Sus scrofa: one gene and its partners. The protein of the gene in region 3 interacts with the protein of the main gene of each other region in a pairwise test. Links are inferred from orthologs where the notes say so. Each region holds a gene or a part of one and is shown on either strand. Other genes may lie near its edges.

Region 1 (6,133 bases), on a different chromosome or scaffold from region 3:
TCTGCAGCCTACACCAAAGCTCACGGCAACGCCGGATCCTTAACCCACTAAGCAAGGGCAGGGAACGAACCTGCAACCTCATGGCTCCTGGTCGGATTCATTGACCACTGAGCCACGATGGGAACTCCGAGTTGTTAGGTTTTTTTTTTTAATATCCACCCCTGGCAGTGGTCATCTCTGGGATGATGCAGACTTGGCAGAGTGTCTGGCACAGAGCAAAGCAACTCAATCAATGTCAACTGCTATAGCTTTAAACACTGAACCTAAAGGGCAGAGGCAGGATCAAGATCAGAGCCTCATAAGCTGGTAAAGATGGGTTATGACTGGCAGATCAGGAACAATTAGAGGGCATGTGATGATTCATGGGCAAGGCTGTGTGGGTGGGCTGGCCGGGTTTAAAGAGCCAGAGCAAGACCAATCTATTCTGCTGGGCTTTGCCTTTCTAATGCCTTGGGCGATCCAAGGAGAATATTCTAATCCGAGGTCCCTTGGGTTGAGGACTTGAAGGCCTTAAAGAGAGGTGGTATTTTGTGCTGGCTACAAGTGTAGGTGCTGGAGCCAGAATGCTTGGGTTCAAATCCCAGCTCAGTGGCTTTACTAGCTTTGTGAACATGCCCTGGTCATGTAACAGTTCTGTGCCTCAATGTCTCATCTGTTAAATGGGAGTGATAAAAGTACCTGCCTCAGAAAAATCTTATGAGGAACAAAGTAGGTAATACATATAAAGTGTTAGAATAGCATTTGGCACAAAGTAAGGTCTCTATGTGTTAGTTATTATCAAGGAGGTCACAAATGTAGTGGAGCAGTCTAATTCGTGCCCACACAGGTCCGTCCACTTTTTTCTTCCCCTCCTAGTTGAAATTCTCCTCCTCCCCTAGGCCTCCTGTACCAGCTCCCACATTTTACAGACTGGGAAGCACAGAGTGAGAAGGATGTTGCCCATGGTCTTATGTGGGGTCATTGGCAAAGACGGGACTCCATTTTCAAATTCTAGAGACCACTTCCAGCATCTTATGCTGCCACTTCCACTTCCTCATGCTTTGGATTATGATATCAGTGAGCAGGGATGGGTCCCCAGGGCTAGAGGCTCAGGACGTGACGGAGTCAGGGCTTTCAAACACCTGTCCCTTGTCAGTCACCAAAGGGGACAGGGACGTGCCTACTTACTGGTGCCCCAGGTATGCTCTCATCCCACTAGGACGCCTGCAGCTAGGAGGAAGGGACAGCAAAACAGGTTCAAGAGGGACTGGGATGGTGCCTAAAGAAAAAGAGAGAACACCACTGACTTCTCCCCAGCGAGCCTGGCCATGAAGTTTCTGGGATCAGCCGAGAAACCAAGCCTTCGCTCTTGACCAGCTGGCCCCGCCCACCGCAAAAATTGCTTTCTTGGGCAGAAGTCCCGCCTCTCCCCCTCCCACCTCATGGCTCTTTAGCATCCCAGCTCTGATTGGACTAATCCCCAGACTCCCCGCCCTACTTTTGACAGATGCTTAGCAGTCCCTCCCCTGCACGTGGCCCAGCCAGAGGCTGGCTGCTCCCCTTCCCTACTCGCCCCCCCCACCTCCCCCAGCTTGGAGTAAAAAGGTTCCCTCTCGTCGCCTTGGGTCGGGAGCTCTCAGCTTCCATTGCAGCTGGGGCGGCAGGACAGGGCTTTGGGGAGACCCCCAAGTGCGGGAGGAGGTGTTCCCAGGGCCCTGAAACCTTCCAGACCTGCTCAGTGTAAACCGCCTCGGGCTTGTGTCAACATCCGAAGCCAGAGACTGGCGGCGGCTGGGGACAGACTTCGTCTAAGGAGACCGGAGGGTGGGGAATGGAGGGGTCCATAGGGTAGGCAGAGAGATCCCAGGAGGCTTCCTGAGACTGAGAAATAAGGAAAGTCTGTCTGGGGAGGGATCGGAATTAGAGGCTGTAAGGGGCCCAGGACTAGCGTGGGGCTAAGTGGAGCCTGGGTACTTCGCCATCCCCGTCCACTTGCCTGCTCTCAGTTCCTTGGCGAGAGGGGTGGTTGGGTTGGAAGGGGGATGAGAAGGCGTGGGCTGCTGACTACCGCATCTTTTTCCTCCCCACTCAGTTCCTCCTCACCCTCCTCTGATTTGGGGTGAGATACAGGAGGGGGTCACATCTTGTGACTCATCCCCTTTTCTGTCCCCACCCCCGCTGGGGCCCAAGAAGGAAAGGCTTAGAGACTCGGCTGTGGCTCTCTCGTTTCCATAGCAACCGTGCGGTTGTTTTCGCGGATCCATATCAATCGTGGACACTTTTAACCCCTGAGGCCCGGGTCTGAGCCTCGGGGAGGGAGACAGATGGGGGTACAGCCCTCCCTCTTCCTCGCGACTCTGGGAAGGTCAGGGAGGGCAGGCGGGGCGCGTTCTTGTAGCCCAGCCTCACTGGCCACTTGGTCCCCACCTGAAACCCCGCCTGCCACTCCGCCTCAGCCGAGCCAATCAACGCCTAATCTGCCCAGAATGAGGCGGGGCTTATGCAAATCGTGTCGCCTCCGACAGACACATAGTGATACAAGAGCTGGGAGGCGGCTCCGGCGCGGACCTTGGAGAACCTGGCGGCCGGCCCGCGAGCCAGTCTCGGTCCCCACGGCCCGCCGAGGCTCAGAGTCATCCAGCGACCCGGCGCTCGGCCTCAGGTAACGCGGGCAGGGCCGGGAGGAGGCCCTTGTCCCCTCCCCCTCCACTCTCCATTCCCATCCTCGTCTTCTGCCCCACTCTGATCCATCTCCCTGACCCCTGGTTCCACCATAGGAGGCAGTATATGGAGAGCCCGCCCCTGGCCAGAGGATTCCTCCCCACCCCTCCAGTCCATTCCAGACCCTACAGGTCCCAGGGAAGGAGGCAGAAGCGTGTCCTTACTCTCAGAGCAACCACTGCTCTCGCGCCCAACACACACACACCACACACACACACACACACACACACCTGGGGTCGCAGTGTTGCTGGTGCCAACGAAGGAACCCATCACTCTCCCTCCTTTGGAAATGGGAGATTGCCCCAGCCCCATGGCAACCACCCACCTCCACAGGTAGCCCTCACCGCACACCATCCAACCCCACCAAGAGGTCACTGCACTTCACACCACAATGTCGCTGGCCCCCAAGACAGCCTCCGCCTCCACAGAGAGCCCACTCCCACTTCACGTTGTCGCCTCAGACTGTCCGCACCTCCAGCTCTCAAGCTGACAGAGCTCATAGCATACTTGTGGGAGGGAGGAGGCTCCCACATCCAGTTCTCTTCCTTGAGACACTCTCTCAACAGCCCCCCTGCCCAGGGTCTCAGTGTGAGGCGCAGGCCTCTTTTGCCTGGTGGGAGGATGAACCAGGGACAACACCCCCAACAGACCGTCAAGGTCCCACCCAGCCTCCTCCATTCCCCCAGCTCTCAGCCCTCACGGCCAAAGCACCAAGTCTTCTCATTCCACCTCTCAAATATCTAATTCATACCCTTCCTGGACTTCTGGCATCCAGCCGCTCCCTCTCTCCTATCTTCCTGTGGCTCCACAGGGACCATGACAAAGCTCCAGGTGTGCCTTGCCTAAGGCAGCCTGAACCTGGAGGGCAGAAGAGCCAGGCTCAGATCTTGCCTTTGCCTCAGTGGCTGTTTGACTTAGGCCAAGTCACTTCCTTCTCTGATCTTCCACCAAATGGGGAATTCAGGGGTGGGGTTGGTGTGGGCAAGCCAGAGTGTGGAGTTGATGAGATGATCTTGGACAGCTTTCCAGCACTGACATACTCTGGTTCTGTGGCTGATTATGAGAAAACAGGGCCCTCTCCCTCTTTCCCTGAACCTTTAGGACATTTGAGAGAGGAAGCCTCAGGGACTTTAGTCCTCACTGAAAGGACATTGCTTCTTTCCCAGACCTGAGTATGGACCACCCCCTCCCACACACTTTCCAGACCCAGGCTTCTTCTCAGCTTTTAGGAGTCCCTCCTAGGTCATCAGCCCGCATGACATGGGCAGGTTCAGGGTAGAGGAATTCAACAGGACCTACCCTTTTTTTGTCATCCCCTGTTTCTCAATAATAAGGAGAAGGAGAAGACCTGACTGTTGCTGCTATGGCCGCTGCTTGGAGAAGAGCAAAGGAAGGAGAGGAAAGAGAAAAATCTCCTGACCAGGGAGCTGTTGTCACCATAGCAACAGTCTCAGCACCAGCTCCTCTGAAGCTGGGTGAGGGTGTGGGATTATTGCCTCCCTCAGTCCCTCCCACCCTTCCTGCCACCTCTCCCTCTGGAGCCCACACTCCTGGGCCCTGCCCTCTGAAAGTAGCTTCTGAGCCCAGAGGGACAGCGGCTTTGTGTATGGGGCAGTGCCAGCTCCTTCAAGGCTGGAGGGCAGCCCTCAAGAGGAGCCTGCCCATCTTCAGCATGGCCGCAGCTGCAACAGGACATGCCCCCAGTGGGTTCTGGCCTTCACCTTTCTGCTGACGGGCTCTACTTGACCTTGGGTGAACTCTTCCTTTCCCCATTGTCTCTAAGGTGCCATGGCAGGAGAACACAGATAAACAAACCAGCCAGCCATCATCTCAAGGAGAAAAAAGGGGGTTCTGCCTCTCCCATATAATCCATGCAGGGACATTCATTAAACATGTCTGTGTTCCAGACATGGCCTTTAGGTCTCTGCAGGGCAGTTCTGTACTGTCACAGAGGGCAGAATGGAAACCTGCGTGGGGCAGCTACAAGAGGGCACGATAGGAACAGTGGGAGAAACACTTTTCTCACTGGCCCAGCTGCTCCCAAGAAGGCTGGGTTACATCAAGTAGGGATAAACTCTTTGCCATGGAGCAAAAGGTCTAGAGAACTTTTCCTGGCTCAGGCAAGAATTTAATGCAAAGGTCTCCCCCAAATCAGGCTCTATTCCCGAATTCTAGAGCGCCAGGTGAGGGTCAGAGGACTCTGGAGTCTATGCACCTGTGGGCTCAACTCCATGCCCAGAATGCCAAGTCCATGCTGCTGACTGTCTACTCTCCAGGCTGGGGGAGGCTGATCATAAGGCAGTGGGCTTCAGTCAGGCCCAAAGGCTGATTATAGCTGCATCAGCCCAGAAGGGCAGAAAGGCTATTAGGGAAGATGAAAACAGCCAAGCAATAGTTGAAATAGGTTCTGGCTTGAAAGTACGTAGTTGAGAGGGGAGCAGTGGGAGGTGAGGCTAGACAGGTAGACACCTTGACATCAGATTCTAGAGGACTCTGGAGTTTGAGGGGGCTCATGGGCAAGGCCACCATCTATCTCTAGTTTATATTGTACTTTTGGGCAATAACAGAAAAAACATTCTCTTGGGACAGAGGAATCAGAAAGAAAGGCACTCCCTCCAAGGCAGTTGAGCTCAGGGGCATGGCTTGGCAAAGCAGTGCCCCAACTGGCTTTCAGCCCCCTCCACTGTGCCCCTGGCCCTGGCTATGACAGAGGACAGAGTGAAGGTTTCGGGAGTACTTCAAAAGGAAGAATACTAGGACTTATAGCAAGTTGGACTTAGAGATAAGGGAGAAATTAAAGGTAACTAGGAAAGAAGGAAGGGCCATGGAAAGAGAAGGATCATCACAGGTTGAGGGCGAGTCTGGTCGTGGATGTGCTGAATCAGAGGTGCTGGTGGGCCACCCCAAGGGATAGATATTTCCTGGGTATCAGATACCATGACCTAGAGCCAACAAGATGGTCCTATTAAGGCCAAGAGGAAGATCAGAGCTATGGCTTCCTTGGAGGGTGGGTGGAAGTCTTTGCTGGACAAGAGTAGCCATGACTTGGAGTGGGTAGTCCAGACAGGTGATATGGATTCAGCCTGGTTTCTCATCCCCTTCCACTAGCTTACTGTGTAAGTCTGAGCCAGCTTTCTCTTTTCTCTGAGTTCCAACTTTCACTAAAATACAGGGATGATCTTAAAAAGGGCATCTCCAGCTTTGGCTGGCAGTGCCCTTTAAGATCTAAGAGCAGTAGAAGGAATGAGGCGAAATGAAGGAGGAGGCTTAGTCTTGCTGGGCGTGGGGTCAAATAGGGGCTGAGAACACGTATGGCCCCAGGAGACAGAAAGTGGTTTGAAGGCAGAACGGGACAGGGAAGAGAAAAGGGGCAAAAGATGAGAGCCATACAGACACCATCACACACACACACACCCACACACACACTCCACGC
Region 2 (6,244 bases), on a different chromosome or scaffold from region 3:
TGTATGTATGGGTGATTTATTTGGTAACAGAGATCTGAAATATACAGAAAACTGTAATGCAATGGCTAGAAACATTGTGAATGAAATTGCTGTCAGTTCAGCAGAAGCTAAGAGGTGAGTCAGCACCACAAACAATATGGCTGATGTGGAGAAATTATCTGTCCATTGAGACTCCAAGTAACCTAATGATTATCAAGTTTTTGGGGAAGTCATTGGAAGAGTCCCATGTGTATTCTCTTGTCAACCGTGGTGTAGACAGGGTGATGTTTACCTGGTAACAGCACATCAAACAAAAGATCAGCAACAATTTTCAAGGATGGACAACTGATTTGGATAGTATTAGAAACTGATGAGCTACTTGCTTTAAAACTCAAATATATGCTTCTGTTTAGAGAATATTGGGAATTAAATGTTTTAAATTTATATGTTGATTAACTAATTACAGGTTTTAAACTCTTTTGATCATCATCTCAGTTTTGCTTATTCAATTCTCCATTCTATTCCTTTGGTCCACACCTGTCAGCCGGAAGAAGAGATGAGCTCTCTGACTGAGCATTGATAAGTTAGGCTGTCTGCCTTTTCTGTCTCAAGGTTGCTCCTTGTCTGGTTCACGCTTTTTCTTTAAGGGAGAAGGAGGTAGATCCTTGCTTTAGGTGGAAAAGGATGTCCAGCTAATTGAGTAGGAATGTGGGCAAGGAGGCTGTTCCTCAGGAGGCTGTTGCTTTCTTCTGTAAACACAGGTAATTGAGCTGTCATTTTAAAAGTTTTATTAGTTAAGATTCAAGTTAGGACTGGAGCCCTTCTTTTGCAATTCCTTCAGGGCTACACGTGGAAGAGAACAAATAGGAAACGCAGTGATGAGTTCTGAATCAAGCTGTGGGAAAGGAATAGTCAGCAGTCCCTGTGGTCTCAAGAAACACCAAGAAAGAGAGTTGTTTAAACACTTAAAAAATAGAAAGGAAACACAGAGCTCTTCCATTTAGTATGGCAAAACCAGCTCAGAAGTATGTGACGATCCAGGCAAAGCACGACAGTTTCTAGCCAGTCCAGTCATGATTCTCTGGCAAACTGCACAGTCATGGTTATGATGCATTGGGATGAGAGGTGCTATATAAATGTCAGATGTTACATAAATGTCAGGAATGATTATTGTTTGTTAATGGGGGCTAAACTGTTCCTAAGCAAAGCTTGGACTCCCAGCCAACTCGTCCTCAGCAAAGGTTCTAACCATCAATAACCCATGAGAATGGAAAGCTCCGCCCTGGTTCTAGAAAGGAGTCCAGTTAGGATTTGGAGTTTTAAAACAGGGGCGGGAGTTATCCAGTGGCTTCAGGCCAGCCCCCTAAGCTTCTGGAATTTGCCTTGGCTCCCTGTAAAATGGGGATAATTATAACACCTGCCCTACTTCTCCTTGTGCTGGGTTGTTGTGAGAATCAGGGGAGTTCCACGTGGGTTCCAGTGCTTTGCAAAGTGTGAGCTGCTGCAAGGATGACCGTGGTGCTCTGAGATGTCTGGCATCTCCTGGATTTAGCCTCTGCCTTCCCTTTGAGTCCGACTCACAGAGAGAACATCCGAATGGAAATTAAGCTGGGGATGGCCATGGTGACCTGGCTGATGCTGAAAACACCAGGCTCCTTCTCTCACTGAGCTGTCAGGAACGTACTGCAGACCAGGGCCCCGAATCCTGCATTCCGGCTCTGGCTCTGCCACTTGCCAGCTTATGAGCTTGGGCAAGTAACAGAGGAGGCTCTGGAAGTGAGCGCCAAGGGCCCTTCCGGATCTGACGCTGAGTCTAAATCAGGCTCATCATTTGGCTCTAGCTGTAATTCACCTTTCGCCTGCAGGAACAACGCTCCTTCCAGCTTCTCACACTCATGAAGCAGGGGTCTTGGGAAGGACAGGGGCATCACATTCCAAATGAGTGTGCACAATAAAGAAGTTATTCCTTTGGAGGTGAAATGGGGCGCGGCGGGGGGGGGGGAGGGCCGTGAAAAGGGGTGTCGAGTGAATGCTCTGAGAAGCCAGGATGCAGGGAACACTGTAATGAGGTCACGACTGTCGCAGGCAAAAAGGAGCTGGACATCTGCTGGTGGGGGAAGGGGGAGCGTTCCTCATTTCTGTTTGTAGAAAGTCTCTTCCCGCATTCGTCTGCACCCCCTCCCCACCCTTCCTCTACTCCCCATTCCCACCCTTCCCCTACTCCCCGTCCCCACACCTTTCAAATGCCACCAGGCCCTCCTCACGGGAGAGCCCAGGTCCCTGCCTCCTCCGTGGTCCCGTCTGAAACCGTGACGATTGTTTCCAAGCTGACTCACACCACTAATGTCAGGGAGCCGTGTCACACGGCGCTGGCCTCTGCAAGCTGTTGCTCGCGCGGTCGCCGCTGCCGCCGCCGCTCCCCCGCGGGTGCACCAGAGTCGGCTGGTGGGGCGGTGCGCGGGCGGGGCCCGCCCCCTCGGCGCGCCGGCCCCGCCCCTCCCTCCTCCCCCCACCCCCCCACGGGCCGCAATGATTTAGAAGTTCAGGAATCCCACGTGACGTCACCGGGGGGGTGATGTAATGCACTCTAAATAGAATGTATTGTAATCTTTGCTCAGTCCAACGTGGTCCCTTCACCCGGGCTCCGCTCTTGCCTTCTCCACACTTGTTTGGTAAGTTCCTAAAAATACGGCTCGGCCACTTCTGGGGCTTTTGCATTTAGCCACTTTTGTTGCACTTGCCGCGGGAGCCATCTCGGGAACGTACTTGTTTGCAGGGGCTGGTTCTCGGCAGCAGCCGCGAGGTTACTTGGTCTAGTGGGCAGGTCACAGGGCAAGAAGTAGGGGAAGATGCGATGCATTTTTTTTTTTTTTTTGGAGGATGATCTGTGTTTGTAAACACTCTGGCGGACCAGAGGGAAGTCCGTCCCCCAATGCTGGTGGACCGTGGAATTCGGCTGTGTCCTGAGGCTACCCCAGAGACCCCACGCCGAGTCCGTCCCGGAGCGCGTCTCGGTGGCCGCCGCGCCGTGCGACTGGAGGGATGCTAACGTGGAGCGAGCGCCGTGTCAGCCCCGGCGTGCGTGCGTGTGTGGGAGCGCGCGTGTGTTTCCCTGACACGGGGAACAGTTATGAATCGGGGGTGTGTGTTTGCCTCCAGAGACCTGGCAAGGTGCGGAACCCTCCAGAAGTGCGGTCAAGCGGCGTCAGCGGTGGCGGCAGCGGAGACGGCGAGCCAGGAACCGCCCCCCGCGTCCCCAACTTCCCGGTGATGCGGCGGAACCCCCGGAAAAAGTTTGCAAACTTCCAGCGGGCGCGGCGAGGACGCCGGGTCACCTAGGGGGCGGATGGACGGGCGCGCGGGGGGCTCGCTCCCTCCCCGGTGCTGAGCCTGCTGCTGCCACCTCTCCCGCAGGGCTGCCGGCCCCAGGTGGTGGGCGCGCGCGCCCTGGGAGGGGACGTCGCTCTTGGAGGGCACTTTGCTTTCACTCCGGGCGCGGAGGGCTGGAGAGTGGCGAGGCTCTTCTCGCCTTCATTCCTCCAGCCACCTCTTGCCTCCGTCCGGTTCTCGTTGGCATCATTACCTCTTCTCCGCTGCTGCCCCAAATGACAGCTCCCGCTTTTGCCGCGGCGGCGCGGTGGCAGTTCCCAGGATACGGCGGCGGCGAAGCCCTCTTCTCCAGGCAGATTCTTCAAGGAATCGCTTAAAACTTTTCACGACGGTCTTAGAGGGGCAAGACGCACGAAGCAACCAAAGAGATGTTTTTTCCCCGTCGGCTGCATTTCGCTTTTCTTTTGCTATAGGTTTATTGGGGGGGGTGCTAATCTGGTAGATGAAGCCCCCGATCTTGATCTTGTCCACTCCTCCCTAACTTTCCTTGAACGGGTGCCGCCCCCACTTGAGGCTGGTACAGGGCCGGGAACTCAAGTGGGTCTCTTGTGTATTTCGTTGTCAGAGCCCGCAGAGTGTATGATTTTTATTTTTCCCTCCCTCTCTGACATGTGTCAAGGAATAAAGGCTGGAGACAGGTCCATTACGTCATTCTGCAGGCCGTAAGTGTTTGATTAACAGCTTCAGATACTCAAGGGTTAGGGGCTTAGAAGTGCTGACAAAGCAACTATGCTTTCCATCCCCAGCCCCCACCATACTCGTACAATCGCCGATTCCCTGGGCATCTTTATTACCCTCTCCCTCTGGACCCCTCCTTCTCCGCCCGCTCTCTCCCGCCCATACCGTTATCACTCTGGCCCCGCCTCCGCCTTTTACTGCTTTCCCTGGGGCGGTCACAGTCCCTGGAGCGTGGTGAGAGCTTCTGGCGGCTGAGGGGGGCACAGTACCTGATCTGCGGGCACACAAGCTGCCCTTTTCTATTATTTAAGAAAGGCGCTAGCGAGCCCTCTCCTCTAGGGCAAAAATAACTTAGTCCTGATAGAAAAGGCATCTCAGGAAATGTTTAGAGACGCTACGGTGGATAATACCACGTCCCTGTGTTGACTTAGGAAAACAACACACCCACAGCAAACAAAGTACTTAATTTTACATAACGCCTTCCTCTTTCCTTCCAGCAGTTAGCCGGAGGGGGATGGCGAGGTTGTGCTGACTAAATCAAATTTATCCGAAAGGCTCAAGATTAAACGTTTCATTTCCAAAGTTAGGGAATGTGAGTCTTGGAACCCGAATACTATACAATAAATTGGGGCGTGTGTTACTTTCTTAATCTTAACCTTAAGTTTCTTTATTTAAAGAGGAAGTTAAGTATGGAAGTCACTGAATCGAGCCAGAATCTCCGTATCTGGCAGTTGAAATAAAAATACTGTTTGTGACACGTTTAAGGGATAAAAGTAAAAAGATCTCCGAGGGGTGGGGGTGCGGGGGTGCAGCAGGAGTCAAATAGAAGATTTCCTAACAGGATTTTGGATGGAGGAGGGCAGAGAGTTTCAGGGCTCTCTGATTTGGAGTTGGTGAAAGTTAAATAAAGGAAAATTTATATTCTGAGTATGTGGGAATTTCTTGAAGCATGCGTGTCTTGTTATAATCAAATCTGCTTTCTTCAAAGTGAAAGCCGTGCTGTAGAGTAGGCATTTGTGAAACTCCTGTCTGGGGTCTAATTGACATCTCCTTCCCCAAGTTTGTGGCAGTGTTTATTATTTATTCACATCTAGAGATGAAATAGTATAACCCCCACACAATACATGTGCATCTAAAATGTTAAACTTCTTGTTTGTGATGCATACATAGACCCAAAGGGAAAAATGGCCCGGGTCACCAGCACTGGAGAGTGTGATTAATGATCAGTGATTTAGTGATCAGTGATTAGTGGTTTTATTCAAACTGTTACCTCTGACCAGAAGCACACATCAGAGGATTAACAGGCTCTTTAGATAAATGCTCATTAGTGGAAGGGGGAAAGCAAAGATAATAGGCATGCACCCAGGGACAACTTTCGAAGAAAATCATTCCCCGTCTTCAGAATAATAAGCTCTATTAACAGAAAGCCCTTTTAATTTAAAACTTGCTTTTATCTTGTAAATCAAAGTTAGATGTAAAAGTTTGTAGTGCCATTATAACCTAAATTTTCCCATATCCACTTGATGTGGATTATCTCAGTAGCGATATTTTTTTTTATTTAAATAAACAATTGGACCTTTAAAGCAGCTGGACCCTGACAAGTCCTTAACTCCCAGGGTTTGAAGGTGTCCCCCCTTCTAGAAGGGAGAGTGCAGCTTGCTAACTAGATGGCGCACTGCTATTTGGTGTGCTGTGCTGTGTCCTGCAGGAGTCCAAAGGAGCAAGTAGCTGCTTGCGAGGTGTTCTCCCACACTCACAACAAAGTTGATTCTGTGCAGGGTTGGAGGCTAGACAGTTCTACAAGTTTTTAGTCACATTTTCCATGTCAGTTGAATCTAGGGAGTTCAAGGCTTCTGGAAAAATTGGTCTCATTACTAAAAGAAACGTAGAACCCAGGAGGAGAGGAGGTACGGGGAGACCAGGAGGTACCTCTGGGTTGCAGCAGTGATTGTAAAATACCAGACCTGTTCTTTTTTTTTTTTTTTTTTTTTGGGCTAAGAGCTAGCTTCACGGTCTTGTGATCTGAACTACTGAGGCAAACACTCAAAGCTTTATTTTCTTCCTAATCTTGCTGGTGAAAAAGACGTTGCTAGAAAGACAGGAAGAAAAAAAAATCTTGATTGGGTGACTGCAGGAAGCAACACGTTGCTGATTTTATTCTACAGATAATGGTAAGATGATGTTTGCTCCGCTTATT
Region 3 (5,529 bases):
CTTTTGCTAGCAAACTTCTCCAACTCTTTCTCCAACTTTTGTTTCTGTCTTCTCTTTCTCCATCTTTACTATTTTAAAAAATGCCTTAGATTGTCACTATTTTATTCAATTTCTAAAATCTACAGCTTCCCCAACAACACTTCCTAGTTACTGATACCTCAAACAAGAAGCACTACACTACAGGACAAGTCACCATAGGCTCTAAGAACTCTACAAGCTTTATTTTATTTTATTTATTTATTTTTTTAATTTTTATTATAGGATTCTTTTCTTTCTTTTTTTTTTTTTGGTCTTTTTTGCCATTTCTTGGGCTGCTCCCACAGCATATGGAGGTTCCCAGGCTAGGGGTCTAATCAGAGCTGTAGCTGCCAGCCTATGCCAGAGCCACAGAAACGCGGAATCTGAGCCACGTCTGCAACCTACACCACAGCTCACGGCAACGCTGGATTGTTAAGCTGCTGAGCAAGGGCAGGGATCGAACCCGCAACCTCATGGTTCCCAGTCGGATTCATTAACCACTGCGCCATGACGGGAACTCCTACAAGCTTTATTTTAAATAAGCATTAGTACATGCTAGCCACCATGTTATCCATGACCAGAACCACATTTAAATATCTCAACTTTCAGAGATGACATGTTAAATTAGATATACTTCTGACTTCAACTGGAGTTTTCTATTATCCTAAAACCACATTCTAGTTAATTGAAAGGCACTGATAAGTGAATCCTAAACTAACAAAACATTAGAGCTGGAAGGGTTTCAAGATGATTTAGGAAAACTCTCCATTTACCTGAGGCAGAAACTGGAAGACAGACAGTTAGACAACTTTTTAAATTACTGAACTAATTTAGTAGTAAAAAAATATCCAGAAACAAAGAAGCAAAATTAAAAGTAGGTTTATTCAAAATTTTTATGTATGAATTATTCAAAACTTAAAACACATTTTCAATAGAAATAATAATATAGATGCTGAATAAGCTCATATATCAGCCCACAAATACATAGCTAAAGGGAATTCTAGTTATTTTCAAGAATCTTGGAAATTTGGGGCACTTATTCTCATTTTGCTAAGTCATATGCTCTCCATTTGCTTGATTCAGGAATAAGACTAACATCACTCAGCTTTTCTGATAAGATTAGAGTTGTTTTTTGCTCACAAATGAAATAAAGGAGAAAGAGCTTCCCATATATAATTGATGGTAAATAGCTAAGATGATCAAAAGTCAGATTCAAATTTAAAATATATAGATGTGGAAAAAAAAAAAAAAAAACAACACTTGTCTGGGTGGAAGACAGCATAGTTAAAACCTAAGGTGGCCACCAGGTAGTTATATAATGAGTTTAGACTGATAAGTGATGAGGAGAAAGAACCTATGAACACAAAATTCTAGGGTAGGGGTCAGCAAAATGTTTCTGTAAGGGGCCAGATATTTAATCTCTGTTGCAACTACTCAACTTTGTCACTATATTGTGAAAGCAGCCATAGGTAAAATACAAACGAACAAGTGGGGCTATGTTCCAATAATATTTTATTTATAGACACTGAAATTTGAATTTCACATAATTTTCATCTTCATAAAGTTATTATTCTTTGATTTTTTTTCCCCAGTCATTTAAAAATTTAAGAACCATTTAACTCATGGGCTATGCAAAAACAACGACAGGTCTGGATTTAGCCTGTGAACTGTAGTGCCAACCTCTAGTCTAAGGAATACTGGGAGAAGGGGAGGAAGATGTGCCTGGTTTAATAACTGGGGCGGGGGGACGGACTATACATGAATGTTCTCACATAAAACCTAATTGGAAAAGCAGCTCCCTTCTAACACATACACGTTAATGTTAGTCCCACTTGCAAAGAAACAGACATATTTTGCTGTCTTTAACTTCTGTAGCTAAAAGAGCTAAAGAAACAATCACTGATTTTGAACAAAAATAATTTTCATAATAAAATCATAATTTTTTGTTTGCTTTTTAGGGCTGCACCTGTGGCACAGGGAAGTTCCCAGGCTAGGGGTCAAATCGGAGCTACACCTGCTGCCCTATGCCACAGCCACAGCACCACAGGATCTCAGCCACATCTTTGACCTACTGGCAACACCTGATCCTTAACTCACTTAGCAAGGCCAGGGATAGAATCCGCAAACTCATGGTTCCTAGTCAGACTCGTTTCCGCTGTGCCAGAACAGGAACTCCTCATAATTTTAAATAGATAATTCACTCTATAGAATTTTAAAATTACAGTCATATATGCATTATTCATTACCATTTTGTCCCTGAGTCGCTCTCCACGGATATAAAAGTCAGCACAGCCATTCTCTTCCTGGTGAGGGACTTTGAAGACAGTGACGCAGCTTAGTCCACTCCCTCCAAGTGGTAACCATCCACCACTTGAGTCATCCCGGGTCATCACCACAGCTCGCACTCGTGCATAACTATTACTAAAACAGATGCAAAGATTAGAAATTAGCTTCTCCATAAACAAAAACCAGCCAAGCTATCAGTCTTACTTGAAAAACCAAAGACCACATCAGTTAATATGTGGTAACTAAAGTGTGGACTACTTCTATGACAGTCCACAGGATACAACTTAATTGAAAAGGTAAAAAACCACAGAGTAACTAACTTAAAAGGTCAACTTTTATTTTGAAGACTAATCTCACAATAAAAATTTCTAATTTCAAGTCATCATTTGAATAGTTTGAGCACATCTGATTGCCATGAACAAGTAAGGAAGAATCCTAGAAACAAATGCAGTCAAACTGCACAGGTGACTATTAAAGTTGTCTAATATATGCCCACCTGCAATATAAGCAGGACAAATTACTGCTGTATTTTAGAACATTTAATTGTGACATCTCTATGTTTCTAACATTTCCGAAACATATTACAAATAAAATGCTGAAACAAACATGCTTAGGCCAGACATTTTTTGATTTTTCCTAACTAGGAATCTAAATCACACAAATCATATAAAAACAAATGTTTCATTTTAAAAACTTATCAAGCAAACTGATCTATAGAAAGTTTTCATGCTCCCTTTTTGGCAGACTATTCTTAAAAGACACTATATTCTAGTTCCATTCAGAATAACTTCCCAATATTAATCACAACTATTCTTTACATAAATCTGAGAAATATGTTTCATATAATAATGTTCTAGATAACTGACATCTAAACACTTCAGCTCTAAAACTTTTAGTATAATAATTATTAATGAAATCCTTTCTAAGCATTTTATACCTTGCTGACTTCTGAAAAATTACATTGAGTGTAACTTAAACTTGTCTTGGTTATTACAACTGTTAACTGAGGTACAATGTAACAATTCTGTGCTACTTAGTGTATCCACATGTTCTAAGTATTAGGTTGCCAGGTGTCATTTCTGTCCTCACAGTGCTGATATGAGATCTGCCCCTTGCTTTTTTTCTACTTTACATATTTATTTTATTGAGGTATATGCTACATACAATAATTCATATTGGTATATTGATATTAAGTATAAATTCAACAAATTCTGACAAATGTATACAACTGCACATCCAACATGATAATCAAGATATAGAGCATATTCATGACTCCAGAAAATTCTTTAAAGCCTCTTTCCCATCAATTTGGTAACCTAGGTAACCAATGCTATCCATGGTTTCTATCATATAGTTTTGCCTATTATAGACCTTCACATAAATAGAATCAAAGAGAATCACCACCACCCTTTTTGTCTGACTTCTTTCATTCATTGTTGTTTTATTAGTGTTTCGTTCTTTTTTACGGCTAAGTAGTCTTCCCACTGAGTAAATAAACCACAATTCATTTATTTCTTCTTGATGAATGGGCATTTGAAATGTTCCTACTTATTGGCTATGGTGAATAAAACTGTTATGAACATTCTTGTATAAGTCTTTTTGTAGATACATGTTTTCATTTCTGTTGATAATTACCTAAGGATGGAATTGATGAATCACAGGGTACCATGTTTAACTACATAATAAATTAACAAACTATTTCCCAAGGTGCAAATGGCCCATTATACATTCCCATCAACATGTATGATAGTTTCATTTGCTCCGCATTTGCACCAACATTTTTTTTTTCTTTTTATGGCAACATCTGATGGAATATGGAAGTTCCCAGGTCAGGGGTCAAAACAGAGCTGCAGCTGCAGCCTACACCACAGCCATGACAACACTGGATCCGAGCCACATCTGTGACCTACACTGTAGCTTACAGCAACGCCAGATCCTTAACTCACTGAGCAAGGTCAGAAACCAAGTTCATATCCTCACAGGGACTATGTCAGGTCCTTAACCCACTGAGCCACAACAAGAACTCCACCATTTGGTGTTGTGTTTTTTAAATTTTATTCATGGTAGTTAAGTATAAATTGGTAACCCACTGTGATTTTAATATTCATTTCTCATGATGGATGCATGATATTATGCATTTTTATATGTTGACTGGCCACTATATGACTTTTTATGTTTTTATTATGCTGTACTTTATTACGATTTTTAGAAGTTCTTCATATATTCTCAACACAAATCTTTTGTCAGAGAGCTGTATACTTTTAAAGCTCTCTGACATTGTGTTATGGTTGAGTAAGGAATCTAAAGTCAAACTTCCTTAAGTTGGATCTTAGCAACTTACCTATGTGTTTTTGAGAAAGTTACAGAACCTACCTCTAATAAATGAAAACAATGTCTGACACATAATAAACAATATATATATTTTATTATAAGTTAATTATTATTACAACAAAGAATTTAAAATTGAAGTAGTTGTCATAATATTAATTCAAAGCCAGGGAAAAAATAGAATTTATAAGGTCAAACATAATTCTCTATTACTAGGGTCAAAATAACTCTTTATATAGAACTTTTCAAAGTTTTTAATTCACAAAAGACTATTCTGTCTCAGCTTTTTATTATTTATTTGGAGCTTCTGTTTCTTGTCTGGGCCTATAAAGACAGGGCTGAGGTTGATGTCAAATTAGAATCCTCCTCCTGGGATGGGCTAGAACAAACCCCTCTACTAGAAATAAACATGGCATGCATCCCAAGCCCCAGAGAAGCTTATTACAGTGGGAACGAGCTTGGAGACCCACAAGTAAAAGTAAACGAAGGTTATTTGATTTATCAAGATTTTAAGGCCAAGGATATCCCAGAAGCATAGCATATAACTTAGACATATTAGGTTTGGATTAAGTATTTGTGAACTGAACTTCTGCATGTAAAGCTCAACATATCTGAAGTTCAGTGAAGTTACAAAGTCACAAGGGTCAAAACCAAAATTCAAGTTTCCAATAATCATTTAATTATAAATACTTAATTTATAATTTAATTATAATTTAATTGTAAATATAGTAAAAAGATCTTGACTGTTCCTTCTCACCTAGTTATGTAGTAAACTGATAAGTTTAAAATTTTCTATTAGATTATAAAGATTTGGGAAACCCCAGTGGCAAAATAACCCAATTTAGAAGCTCAGAGTATATTCTGACTTCAGAGTATAGGAGTAGTTACCCTCCTCGG

The links. The genes of interacting proteins can lie anywhere in the genome.
Region 1: the proteins of SPRED1 (region 3) and HPCAL4 interact in binary tests that used the Homo sapiens proteins (3 or more experiments, as listed by UniProt). The link is inferred for Sus scrofa from reciprocal best matches to the Homo sapiens genes SPRED1 and HPCAL4.
Region 2: the proteins of SPRED1 (region 3) and CREB5 interact in binary tests that used the Homo sapiens proteins (3 or more experiments, as listed by UniProt). The link is inferred for Sus scrofa from reciprocal best matches to the Homo sapiens genes SPRED1 and CREB5.

The regions. Positions count from the first base shown.
Region 1 is NC_010448.4:95,512,220-95,518,352, reverse strand, and holds the start of HPCAL4 (hippocalcin-like protein 4), read left to right. Parts: upstream 1-2,460; 5' UTR 2,461-2,641; intron 2,642-6,133. UniProt on the Homo sapiens protein: May be involved in the calcium-dependent regulation of rhodopsin phosphorylation.
Region 2 is NC_010460.4:44,260,804-44,267,047, reverse strand, and holds the start of CREB5 (cyclic AMP-responsive element-binding protein 5), read left to right. Parts: upstream 1-2,571; 5' UTR 2,572-2,651; intron 2,652-2,657; exon of another isoform or gene 2,658-3,138; 5' UTR 3,139-6,215; coding exon 6,216-6,218; intron 6,219-6,244. UniProt on the Homo sapiens protein: Binds to the cAMP response element and activates transcription.
Region 3 is NC_010443.5:132,960,593-132,966,121, forward strand, and holds part of SPRED1 (sprouty-related, EVH1 domain-containing protein 1), read right to left. Parts: intron 2,440-5,529; coding exon 2,265-2,439; intron 1-2,264. UniProt on the Homo sapiens protein: Tyrosine kinase substrate that inhibits growth-factor-mediated activation of MAP kinase. Negatively regulates hematopoiesis of bone marrow.